Mus musculus: one gene and its partners. The protein of the gene in region 1 purifies or fractionates together with the protein of each later gene. This does not show direct contact. Links are inferred from orthologs where the notes say so. Each region holds a gene or a part of one and is shown in the gene's direction. Other genes may lie near its edges.

The links. The genes of interacting proteins can lie anywhere in the genome.
Region 2: the proteins of Cdk5rap3 (region 1) and Pip4p2 purify together in Homo sapiens (affinity purification with mass spectrometry; 3 studies listed by BioGRID and IntAct, counting the BioPlex papers as one, with this or other methods). This does not show direct contact. The link is inferred for Mus musculus from reciprocal best matches to the Homo sapiens genes CDK5RAP3 and PIP4P2.
Region 3: the proteins of Cdk5rap3 (region 1) and Ufm1 purify together in Homo sapiens (co-immunoprecipitation; 3 studies listed by BioGRID and IntAct, with this or other methods). This does not show direct contact. The link is inferred for Mus musculus from reciprocal best matches to the Homo sapiens genes CDK5RAP3 and UFM1.

The regions. Positions count from the first base shown.
Region 1 is NC_000077.6:96,913,669-96,917,416, reverse strand, and holds the start of Cdk5rap3 (CDK5 regulatory subunit-associated protein 3), read left to right. Parts: upstream 1-902; 5' UTR 903-1,027; coding exon 1,028-1,033; exon of another isoform or gene 1,034-1,220; coding exon 1,221-1,266; exon of another isoform or gene 1,267-1,366; intron 1,367-3,539; exon of another isoform or gene 3,540-3,620; coding exon 3,621-3,748. UniProt on the Homo sapiens protein: Substrate adapter of E3 ligase complexes mediating ufmylation, the covalent attachment of the ubiquitin-like modifier UFM1 to substrate proteins, and which is involved in various processes, such as ribosome recycling and reticulophagy (also called ER-phagy).
Region 2 is NC_000070.6:14,862,760-14,866,507, forward strand, and holds the start of Pip4p2 (type 2 phosphatidylinositol 4,5-bisphosphate 4-phosphatase), read left to right. Parts: upstream 1-1,459; 5' UTR 1,460-1,572; coding exon 1,573-1,678; intron 1,679-3,748. UniProt on the Homo sapiens protein: Catalyzes the hydrolysis of phosphatidylinositol-4,5-bisphosphate (PtdIns-4,5-P2) to phosphatidylinositol-4-phosphate (PtdIns-4-P).
Region 3 is NC_000069.6:53,861,211-53,864,958, reverse strand, and holds the start of Ufm1 (ubiquitin-fold modifier 1), read left to right. Parts: upstream 1-1,151; 5' UTR 1,152-1,208; coding exon 1,209-1,210; intron 1,211-1,288; coding exon 1,289-1,345; intron 1,346-3,686; coding exon 3,687-3,744; intron 3,745-3,748. UniProt on the Homo sapiens protein: Ubiquitin-like modifier which can be covalently attached via an isopeptide bond to lysine residues of substrate proteins as a monomer or a lysine-linked polymer.

The DNA.
Region 1 (3,748 bases):
ACTGTATAGAGGTGGGTCTGAGGTCAGCTATAGGTGGGAGACCTGTGTAGTGTCCTCTTGAGATCCCTCGTGAAACAAGGGACCTTGCACTTCACTTTGTCTTGGACCACGTATATTTTGCCGGTCTCCCCTGCTTGTCTTTCCCTGAACCACTCTTGCAGCTGTAGTTTTAAAGTTTGTGCAGTCTCTTCCATCAGAAACAGCCTTTCCACTCCACCAGGAACACCCGCCATCATCCTTCCTTCTGCAACTTTTTTTTTTTTTTTTTTTTTTTTTTTTGGCTTTTCGAGACAGGGTTTCTCTGTATAGCCCTGGCTGTCCTGGAACTCACTTTGTAGATCAGGCTGGCCTCGAACTCAGAAATCCGCCTGCCTCTGCCTCCCTGCTGGGATTAAAGGCGTGTGCCACCACGCAACTTTTTGTTTACTATTCAATGAGTGTTGCTTCCTCTCCCTTCCCTGTCCCAGTCGTCCAACAAGAATCGGGTGCTCAAAAATCGTATTTATCATAAATGGGAGGACAAAATGTGACGAGAGCCTCAAGAGACCTGTGACCTTCTATATGTGGTAAAGGGAGAAAATGGTGGGAAGAAAGTATTTTTTTTAACTACTTTCGAAACGCCATCGGGAAGGTGCTAGGACCTGTTCCGCGCATGTGTTCGTTCTCTAGCTGGGGGCTCCGCGCCAGGCTGATGAAAAAGCAGCCTAAAACGGCTCTTGGGTGCCCCCTACCGCCATCGTGCAAGTGTAACATCCCTTCCTGGAGATCACCCGGCCGGAGCCCGCCTCTCGCCTTCCATTGGCTGTCAGCTATTCTCCCGCCCCTCCGGTACTCAACCAATCAGAACATCGTGATGGGCGGGGCTTTCAGCAGAGGGGCGGAGCGTGGTCTTGGATTGGCTCCGCTGAAGACGGCGACGTGGCTGAAGGAGGCCGGTTTGTTTCGGAACTGAGGCTCAAGCACAGCCGCTCAGGATTGGTGCTAGGCTGGGCCGGGGTCTTTGGCCGGAAGCGGAAGTGGAGAAAGGATGCAGGTGTGGGGACCAGGGCTGGAGAAACTGGGTCTTCTCTGGGATTCCTGTCCTGCCTCCTCAAGTCCTCCCGTCCTCTGTCGGGTGCTCTGCCCCTGCAGGGTGGCGGTTGGACTCGTGGAATGAGCGCGCGCGAGGCGCATCGCCTTCCCGCGTTCACGCCCTCCCTCCCGGTCGTATTTCCCACCAGGACCATCAGCACGTGCCCATCGACATCCAGACCAGCAAGCTGCTCGGTAGGAGAGGGCGCCCCCGCGCGGTCGGCTCTCGGGGGAGGTCTGCTAGTTGCCCCCTGTCACCAACCAGCAGCCAGGAGCTGTGAAAGTCCCAGCTGAGGTGCTTTACTCCAGCGAACTGTTTGCTCTGCAAGGAAGGAAGCATGGAAAGTCTGTACTGGCTCCGTGTTTTCTACTTTTAACGTTTCTCACGTAGTATCAAATCGTATTCAGGCACACAGGACAAATGGATAGTGTTAAAGATGGACAGTTAAGCAAATGGCTGATCCATTTGAAACCTAAGTCTGTTTGGTTCTGTCTTCATGCATTTTGCATTATTTGGGGTGGGTAATCCTCTCCCATCTATTTAAAAAGTTTCTCTCCTTGGATTTAGGGAGAAGAGGGCCCTAAGACTCACATACAGACCTTTTATGCCAACCATGGTGGTTCACACTGGTAACCATAATACTTGGGAGGCCGAGGCAGGAGGATTGGTGGCAGTTCTCAGACAGCCTGGCTTGCATAGCAAGTACCAGCCTAGTACTCCCCGCCCCCCACCCCCACCCCCCCAAAAAACCTTTAGTCTTAGCACTCAGAAGGCAGAGGCAGGCCTTGGCCACATAGCAAGCACCAGGGCAGCCAGGACTACATGGAGAGACACTATTTCAAAAGAAAATGACAGAGAGACAAGAAGACCTTTTAGTGACCAGGCAGTCTCTGCATCTGGCTTACATCCCTCATTCTGTCACTTCTGGGGGTGTGTACAGCCCCTGGCCCTTGTGTTCACCAGATACGCCAGTCCACTGGTAACACGTCCTTAAGAGGGTGTTTGCCGACCTCAGCCCCTGGAGGAATTCTGGTGTCTGCTGTTTTCCTTTCTGACAACTTGAGAAGAACTCAGAGTCAGAATTTCTGATACTGTTGTTGCTTGAGAGAAATTAAGCGGTTGAAAGATTTGTTTTAAAGGAGAGGGAGTATTCAGTCCTTTGATGGACACTGGTGAGTCCTCCCAAGTGCCTGCCAGGCACGGGCCACCATGTATTCATAGTGTATGGGCACCCGCTGCATCTACCTGGGTGTGCCAGTTTGTCCTCGAGTCCTGAGAAGAACCAGTAGGACACCGCTCACCATGGAGCATTTGTTCCATCCCCGCTGCTATTTTATACTTGTCTTTGTTAAGATGAAATCACTAAGGTTTTGTGAGCCACTGCGAGGCACAAGGCTCGGTGCATAGGGCCTCATCTGATGTGTGGGGAAACTGAGGTACAGAGAGATGGAAAGGAACTGAGAGCCAGCAGGATGGCTCAGTAGGTAAATGTTCTTACCGGCAAGTCTGATGACCTGAGGTCAGCATCAGGACCCCTGTGATGGAAGGAGAGGCTTAGATCTCAAAAGTTGTCGTCTGACCTCCACTTGTGAGCTGTGGCACATGTGCATACATACATTTATGTGCATACAGAGTAAATAAAGTTAAAAACAGACGAGCGGGGCTGGTGAGATGGCTCAGTGGGTAAGAGCACCCGACTGCTCTTCCAAAGGTCCGGAGTTCAAATCCCAGCAACCACATGGTGGCTCACAACCATCTGTAACAAGATCTGACTCCACTCTTCTGGAGTGTCTGAAGACAGCTACAGTGTACTTACATATAATAAATAAATAAATCTTTAAAAAAAAAAAAAACAGACGAGCGACTAGGTTGGGCCATGATAGTGCACACCTTTAATCCCAGCACTGGGGAAACAGGCTTTCTGTGAGTTCGAGGACAACCTGGTCTATGTAGTGAATTCCAGAGGGCAACCTGGTCTACATAGTGAATTCCAGAACAGCCAGGGCTATGTAGAAAGAACCTGCCTTAAATAAATAAATAAATAAATAAATAAACCGTCAGCACCCTCCAGCCTTCGGGGCGCGGTAGGTGTTAGGGGCTTTGCAGTTGTTCGTTCATCCGGTACTTGGCATAACCACCTTGTGTTTTCCATTGTGGCGGTTAATCCCAGCCCCGAGGAAATGGAAGTTGAGCAGCACCCTCTGTCAACACGAAAGATATAATTACACACAGAAGCAAAATATTATGGAGACTTTAGAATGGTCAAAAGTGGCACTTTCATGTTGGGACCAATTTAAAGTTTTCCTTTATCCCTGTGTTAAGGCGGTTGCTCTGTAAAACTCATACGGGGATAAAGCCGGGGCGCCAGGGACTGTTTAGCCCAAGCGACTCTCTGCGTCTGTCTGTCTTTTCATCTCTTCCCATTCCTCTCTCTTAGCTAATACAAAGACTTTTGTTCAATATCCAGTATGTGGCACTTGAACCAGTGAATTCCCAGTGGGCAGTTAGTGGTATGGCGGGCTGTGGTGACCGGCTGGTTCTCGTGCAGACTGGCTGGTGGACAGAAGACACTGTAACCTAAAATGGCAGAGCCTGGTGCTGACCATCCGGGAAAAAATCAACACTGCCATCCAGGACATGCCAGAGAGCCAGGAGATTGCCCAGCTGCTCTCTGGA
Region 2 (3,748 bases), on another chromosome or scaffold:
TTTATATTGCATTGTATCTTCCTGTTATTGGCCGCCCAAAGATGCTACATGAAAGAAAACATTGTTCTTTACCTTCCCTTAGGGTTTCCAGTTGGTACTTTATAGATTCAGGAAGAAAGAGTATGTCTTCAGAGAGCAACTTGAGGATCCTAAATGTGATTTGAGTAGTTTCGAATGTCTGCTGTTTATACGGACTGAAATGTAAGGGGCAACTCCCAATCTCCGGTACAGCTATTTCACTGTGGGACTTTTCAGCCACCTTGAGCATGGAGACCACACCCTAGATACTTGGGGACACCTGGAAGGTGAGTAAATAATTCTTCCGAAGTCACTCAGAAGAACCTCAGCAGGAAAGCTATTATTCTGATTGCATTTTTATTTGGATGTGTTCTAAACTTTGGTTTGTTTCTGTTGTTTTTTTAAAAAATGTAAATCGCATTGGAATCAAATGACAAAACATCAAAAAAGGGTAACAAAAATGTAAATAGAAAATAAGACAATAAGTCTGTTGAGTATTTAAAAACATTTATTAAAAAAACTGTGTGTGTGAGTGTGTGTGTTGATGTAGGCCTGATGAAGGTATTGGATTCCTTTTACTAGAGTTACAGGTGGTTTGTGAGCCACGAAATGTGGGTGCTGAGAACTGGCTTTTGTGACCTAAGCAAGATCAGTGAGCACCTTAATCAGTGTGCTAGCTCTTCAGTACAATGACCTTTTTTTAAAAAAAGAAAAATCTTTTGTAGGAAAAAGGTTTAATTTTTACATTATACAAAAAAGCCCCATTATTCTACAAAAACTAAAATGACAGTCTATTTTGTAAAACGGAAGTTGTAAAAGTTAACACTTATGCTTAAAGTGCCAAAAATCAAATGTCAGCACTCTTATTCCTAAAAAAAAAAATCAAGGAAAAGAGGAAAGCCTAATGCGCAGGCACCAACATTTCTCAGACAACAGATTCTCAGCTATGGTTCATAACAAAGAAGAAACCTCTCCGAAGAAAATGATAACCCAAGAAATAAGTTTTCTTCACCCAGCTGCAAAGTTTACCAGACAAGTTAGACTCTCCTACTTCCTGGAGGAGCTGAACTTGATTGCTCTGGTTTTGCCCGTAATCCAGTACAGGCCTTTCAGTGCCTCTCAAAGCTGCTCTTTATCCTCGGTTCCCTTAGTTTAAAAGATTCCTCACCCTCTCTTTCCCTTTGCCCCTCCTCTTGCTTACTTGATCTCTTCCCCTCCCCCACTTCCTAATCAGTCCTCCCGTCTCCCCTTTTCTCAGACTGGCTGGCTTTCCCTCCACACTTCTTCCCTCCCTCCTCCTTCTCCTCCTCCTCCTCCTCCTCCTCCCGGGCTCTTTCTTTCCTCTCCAGTCCCCTCCCCCAGCATGCCTCCCGGCGTGCTTCCCTTCCCCCGGCCTCGCGGTCCCGCACCCTCCCCTCCCCCGCCTCCTGCCTTGTGACACATCCTGGGCCCTCCCGGAGGCCGTAGCGGCGGCGCGGCGGCATTGCTGGCCACCACCTCCTCCCTAGCCGCAGCCCAGCTCAACCCGCGGCCCGCCGCGCTGTCGCTGCAGTCATGGCTGCTGACGGGGTGGACGAACGTTCGCCTCTGCTGTCAGCATCCCATTCGGGAAATGTCACTCCCACAGCCCCGCCGTACTTGCAGGAAAGCAGCCCCAGAGGTAAGGCCGGCATAGACCTTTCTGCTTCTCGCAGAAACGTCTGGAAGGATGGAAGGATGAATGCCGGGGAGCTCTAGCGCGGAGGCGGAGGAGAGCTTCTCCCTTGGGCTGGGGGAAAAGGATGCCTTCCCAGGCTCTGCCTGCCTACCCGAAAGCCTGTCTGCAGGGCTTCGCTGCTGCTGCTTGTGGTGTGGAGTGTGTGCTTGAACACTTCCTTCCCAGCTTCAGGATCGGACATGAATTTTCCCAAGCTCCGAGCTGCTGTTTCCAAAGCAGCCCCTAAGTGCAGCTGGGCGGTGGTGCAGATCCTTCAGTCATTCACAAGTGCTTTCGGTTGCTGAAAAACACGGGGCACTGCTCACCCTGGCATCTGCCCTTGAGAGGACTTCAGCAGGAAACATCTTAGTCCCTTACACTCGGCCCCGGAGTGCAAGCAGGGAACTGCCTAACCAGAAGCAACAGAGTTTATCCCTAATATGTCCGAAATTCCTAAGCTACGGGCATTGCTGCCTGTAAGGAGTGTGTTTCATAGCTTCAGTGGTGAATGAAGAGCCTTCCGTTAGGAAGGAGGAATTTTTTAAATGCATGTCTGGGTGAGGTTGAAATTAACTTCTAAAAAGTTCCCCAAGTTTATACCGTATATATTTTTAGTTTTGTTTTTCAGTGTAGAATTAAAAAGGGATTTGGAGAAATGGTGTGGTGAAGGAGAAGTCTCTTTACCAAAGGATTCGATTTATTCAAGCACTGTCTTTGTTCAAAGTCTTTGGGAGTGTTTACTACGGTAGTCTGGAAGGCAAGCCTTACAGAGATCATTAAATATGGCACGTGCAAGCGTACCTTACTTCATCTTGCTCTTTTGGCTGGATGTGAATGAAGTTTAAAACCCAAGGAGGCCAAAGTTAATAGTGTTTTGGGAATATAAGCAGGTCACGTGTCTTGTAACACAACTTCTAAGTTCATGTCTGAAATGGGGCAGGGGGGGGCGCGGGGGGGGGCGGGAAACACTACAACAGGTTGAAGTTGTCTGGCATTTAACATTTCTTTTTAACATTTTATAACTTGAAAATCAACATTCTGGGTCTCAATCTATAAACAGAAGCAGAACAAAGGAAAACTGTGGTTAGCTGGGAGTAATTCAGAGTGATTGACAGCCTGAGAGGAAAGGGGCAAAGTCCAAGGGAACTGACACACAGAAAACGTACAAGTGACCCTTGTTGGCCAGAAGTCGGGGGATTTCCCTTACTGGCCATTTGATATTAATATTGTACTATCTAATCCTTAGTCACAGGTTCCTGAATGAGTGTTTCAGTTTTATTAATTTTTGTCTATGGAATAAAATTGATGATTTATTAAGGGACTGAGTTTGGACTGAAGTAATGGAAATACCTTTTCCTTATTTTAGTCAATCTGTGTTTAGGACAAACACACACACACACACACACATATATATATGTATATATATATATGGACCTGCATAGACTTCATTGTTCTCTATAGATTTCCTTAATTTGATCAGATTCCTCAAACTACAAAGAGAGTGGCATTTCCAATCAAGCACTGAAAAGAAGTCATTTTACTCTAAAGATCTCTTAACTTAAAGATCTTTTAACTCCTTTGGCCTAAGAGTACAATAATTTTTTTTTTGGAAACGATGGAGATATTTAAAACACTAATATATGGGATAACATCTATGAAGGAAGAAACGTAAATGAGAAGCAAAGTCATTTTTTTTAAGATTTATTTATTTATTATATGTAAGTACACTGTAGCTGTCTTCAGACACTCCAGAAGAGGGCGTCAGATCATGTTACAGATGGTTGTGAGCCACCATGTGGTTGCTGGGATTTGAACTTTGGACCTTCGGAAGAGCATTTGGGTGCTCTTACCCACTGAGCCATTTCACCAGCCCAAGCAAAGTCATTTTATTCGCATGATGACAGTATCTTTTCTTGATTACTAACAACTATTTGAGTAATACACACGTTCTAAATCTTGGACACTGTCCCATTCATTCATTCATTCATTCATTCATTCAGGAACTTTATGGGCCCTCACAGTATGTCACATGCT
Region 3 (3,748 bases), on another chromosome or scaffold:
GCACCAGAATTCTCACCTTTGGGAGAAAACATTATAGACCATTATAGAAAACATTACAGGAAAGATGAGATGTAGTTCCAATGTTCTTAAGGGAGCTTCTAATCTATCAGGATTTCTCATGAAGAATCCACCTGTCATTCTAAAGTTTGACTGGGTCTCCTCTTGGTTCAGTGCCTATTTCTGGCTTCATCAACTTACTGCAGTATATATTTTTTAAAGGTATAGTTATTGTGAGATGGAATGCTTATCTTGGCGTTTACATTGTGATAAAGATGAAAGACAGCTTTCCCCTCTCACGATAGAAATCCAACCGACTGACAGATGCTAAAGGACTTATGCCTGATTGCTTGGGATCACAGCCTTTGGTTATGTCTGGTGTACACAGTGAGCTCAGCCTTTAGTTTAGTGCCTGCTGTACACAAGGTTCATTGGTCAGCTGAACAAATGTACCTGATTGGCAACCTTGCATTAGAGTTAAAGTCTATTTGGACACATCAAGAACAACGGGATATAGTAATGATTTTTTTTTCCCTCCAAAACCTGCTAGTGCTAGGATACAATTTTTTCTTCTGGGCCCTAACAGGAATCTCAGCATAATTCTATCGTGATAACTTTCTTTTGAAATTATTAAAAAGTCTGTAGTGAAGTGTGAAGTATGTGAAGAAAACTATAAGGTTAATACGGATGGAAATCGTATTATCAGAAATGCTAGAAAGATCAAAGAACGTTGTTAGTTAAAGCAACTGAGTCCAGCTTCTCTAGTATCTATCTGTGCCGGCTGCTAGGTTGCTTAGCAACTCCGCAACGCTTCCTCATCCGCCCGGACCTTGAGTCCCGGCCCCAGTTCCGCCGCCACGTCCGGCTTCGACTCAGTCCCTACTTCCGCCGTAACCAGCCAGTGGGGACCTAGCGGCCGCTCTGTTTGACATCCCTTATATTGCCTGACTAAAAATGTGTCAGTGAACTACCAAAAGTAGAAACATATCCTCTCTCTACCATTTACACTTCAACTTGATACAGACACACTCAGAATGAAATGTCTAACTGTGGGCTATCGGCCTTCTGTAGCCTGTGAGCTCCGACACAATTTTCAGGCGCTGTGTGGATAGCCGCGCTGGAGGGCGACGTGGGCCGCGAAGGCCCCCGCTGCCGGCCATCAAGGAAGCGCGGCGGGCGGCTGGGCGCGGTGTGTGTCAGGCGGTTCCACCATGTAAGTATCCGTCCCTGTGTCCCGGCCTTAACCCCGTGGCCGGTCCCGACCGTAACGCCTTCTCGTTCTCTCCGGCAGGTCGAAGGTGTCCTTTAAAATCACGTTGACGTCGGACCCGCGGCTGCCGTACAAAGTGTGAGTGACAGGCAGGGCTGGAGCTGGCCGGGCCTGGCGGGACAGAGGGGGACAGGAGGAAGGGTGCGGCATTTCTGCTGAAAGCCAGTGGCCCCTCGCAACGCTCTGGGTGGGCAGGTGCAACGGGAAGAAGGTTGGACGAGGATGGAACCCGTTTACTTGATTTAAAGGTCTTTACCTGGACCAGCTGTTACCGGAAGTTAGGGAGGACTTCCCAAGTCTGGACTTTTGACAGGTCCGACCCGAACACTCTTAACTTCAGTTTTTTTGCTTTGTTGTGTATAAACACAACGACTGGGTGCCTAGGTGCTGAACTCCCAGTCACACACACTTGGATCTTTATAAAAAGTGCTTAGCGGGATTGGGAAATGGGGGTGTAGGACCTTGTGTCCTTGTTGGGCCCTTCCTTGTGCTTCAGCAGTTCAGTTGATGGCTAACACAGGTTACCCAGCTCCATCTTAGTATGATTTTTAAGTTGACCCCTTTTGAGTTCCTGCAGCTGGAAGACCTATGCTAACCTGCGACAGACCAGGGTTTCCATAGATTTCATTCATGACGGGTTTGGTGGCACCAAGGCCCAGCTAACTGAGCTGAGAGCAGCTGTCATCGTTTTCTGAAGTTTCCCACCCGTGATCCATTCAGCCTCGTGGCCTGTGGTTCCCTTATCTTTCCATGTCTAAAATGGTCTACGTATCCCTCGTCTCTCCCGTAAGGGCTCATTCTAAACGGTTGTCTTCAGATGGCTGTATTCTCTTCCTCTGGATGATGTACCGCAGTGTGCCTTCAACAATAAAAGTTAAAAGTTTTCTGTCACTTTTGCCTCCCTAGTGCCATACCCACTCATTTCGTGTGCAGACGAAAGTCTGTAGTCTAGGTTTTTTTTGTTGTTTTTTGTTTTTTTTTTTTAAAGATCGTTTCTTTGCTAACTCCCAGGAATCTGATAGCCACCTCTCTGATAGCTTGGAATATTTTGCTTGGTGAAAAACCAAATTTATGTTCTCTGCACTTAACTCTGTTCCTGAAGAAATTACAATAGTGCTGATGAGTTTTATGTGAAACCCTCATAACTGGCACTCGACTGTGCTCCCCTAAATTTTCTCATTTTCCTATCCACAGAAAGTATTTTTGTCTTATTTCAAAATTTCCACAGCTCCTTTTCCCACCATTCAAAAGAAATCAGAGGGGACGCCTCTCACTTTTATGGAATGCCCGTAAACATCTCCCATGCCTTTACAAGAAAGCACATAGCTACTGTTGGGAAAGCCCCTTTCTACAGTCTTCCTGCTTTGTTCTACTGAGGATTAGGTTATTAATTAACATTTGGAAGGAAAAATGCTAGCACAAAAAATTCATCTGCGCTTCTGAGAAGAGAAATCCAGGCTTAGCCCTACAAATGTTATATGACATCGATGTTTTATGTGTTGACAAATAGAAACGTTTTCTCTGCTAGAGAGGTGTCTGGTTTTTGTACTTAATTAACACTGCCTTTAACATTTTTATTTTAAAACGTTAGACGAGAAGCAATAAAATAGACCAAGGCTATAGAAAAGTTGGCCTTGCTGACAGATCTCCTCCTGGGCATACTAGCACACCTATAATCCCAGCATTTGTGAGGCAAAGGCAAGCTAATTCTCTGGGTTGGAGGCTAGCGTCTTAAAGACACAGTGTCTTTAAGAAGAGAGAGAGAGGGTTCATCTAAGTGTCTGTCTGCCCATGGTCTGCACTTTTACCAACCTGGGTGGAGCCATGGCTTGGTGGTTTATTATATGGAAGTCTATAACATTTGTCTTCACAAACTAGAAGAGGATGTCAGATCTCATTACAGATGGTTGTGAGCCACCATGTGGTTGCTGGGATTTGAACTCAAGACCTTTGGAAGAGCAGTCAGTGTTCTTACCCGCTGAGCCATCTCACCAGCCAGGTGAGATGGTTTGTTAAGAGCACAGCTACTTTTGCAGAGGACCCAGGTTCAATTCCTAGCACCCACATTCCTAGCTCACAACTGGCAATGACTCCAGTTCCTAAGGATCTGATGCCCTCTTCTGGCTTCTATCAGCCCCTCTACACATGTGTACACACAGAAGCAGGCACATATACACATAACATACAATAAGCCTAAACACATGGAAACATGAAAAGAAAGAGAAGGTGGAGCTCTGCTTGCAGGGTGTTGGTTTTTGCACAGAGCTGTGGTTCCTTGCCTGGACTCTGCTTTTCTAGTGTTTTTTCAACGTCAGTGCACAAATGCTGCCTTGAAAACAGACACCCTTCACAGCCCCAAACAAATGTTCCCTATCTGCAATGAAATGAACTGTGTGAAATTCTTCTTTTCTTGTTGCAGTCTCAGTGTTCCTGAAAGTACGCCGTTCACAGCAGTGCTAAAGTTTGCAGCAGAAGAAGTAA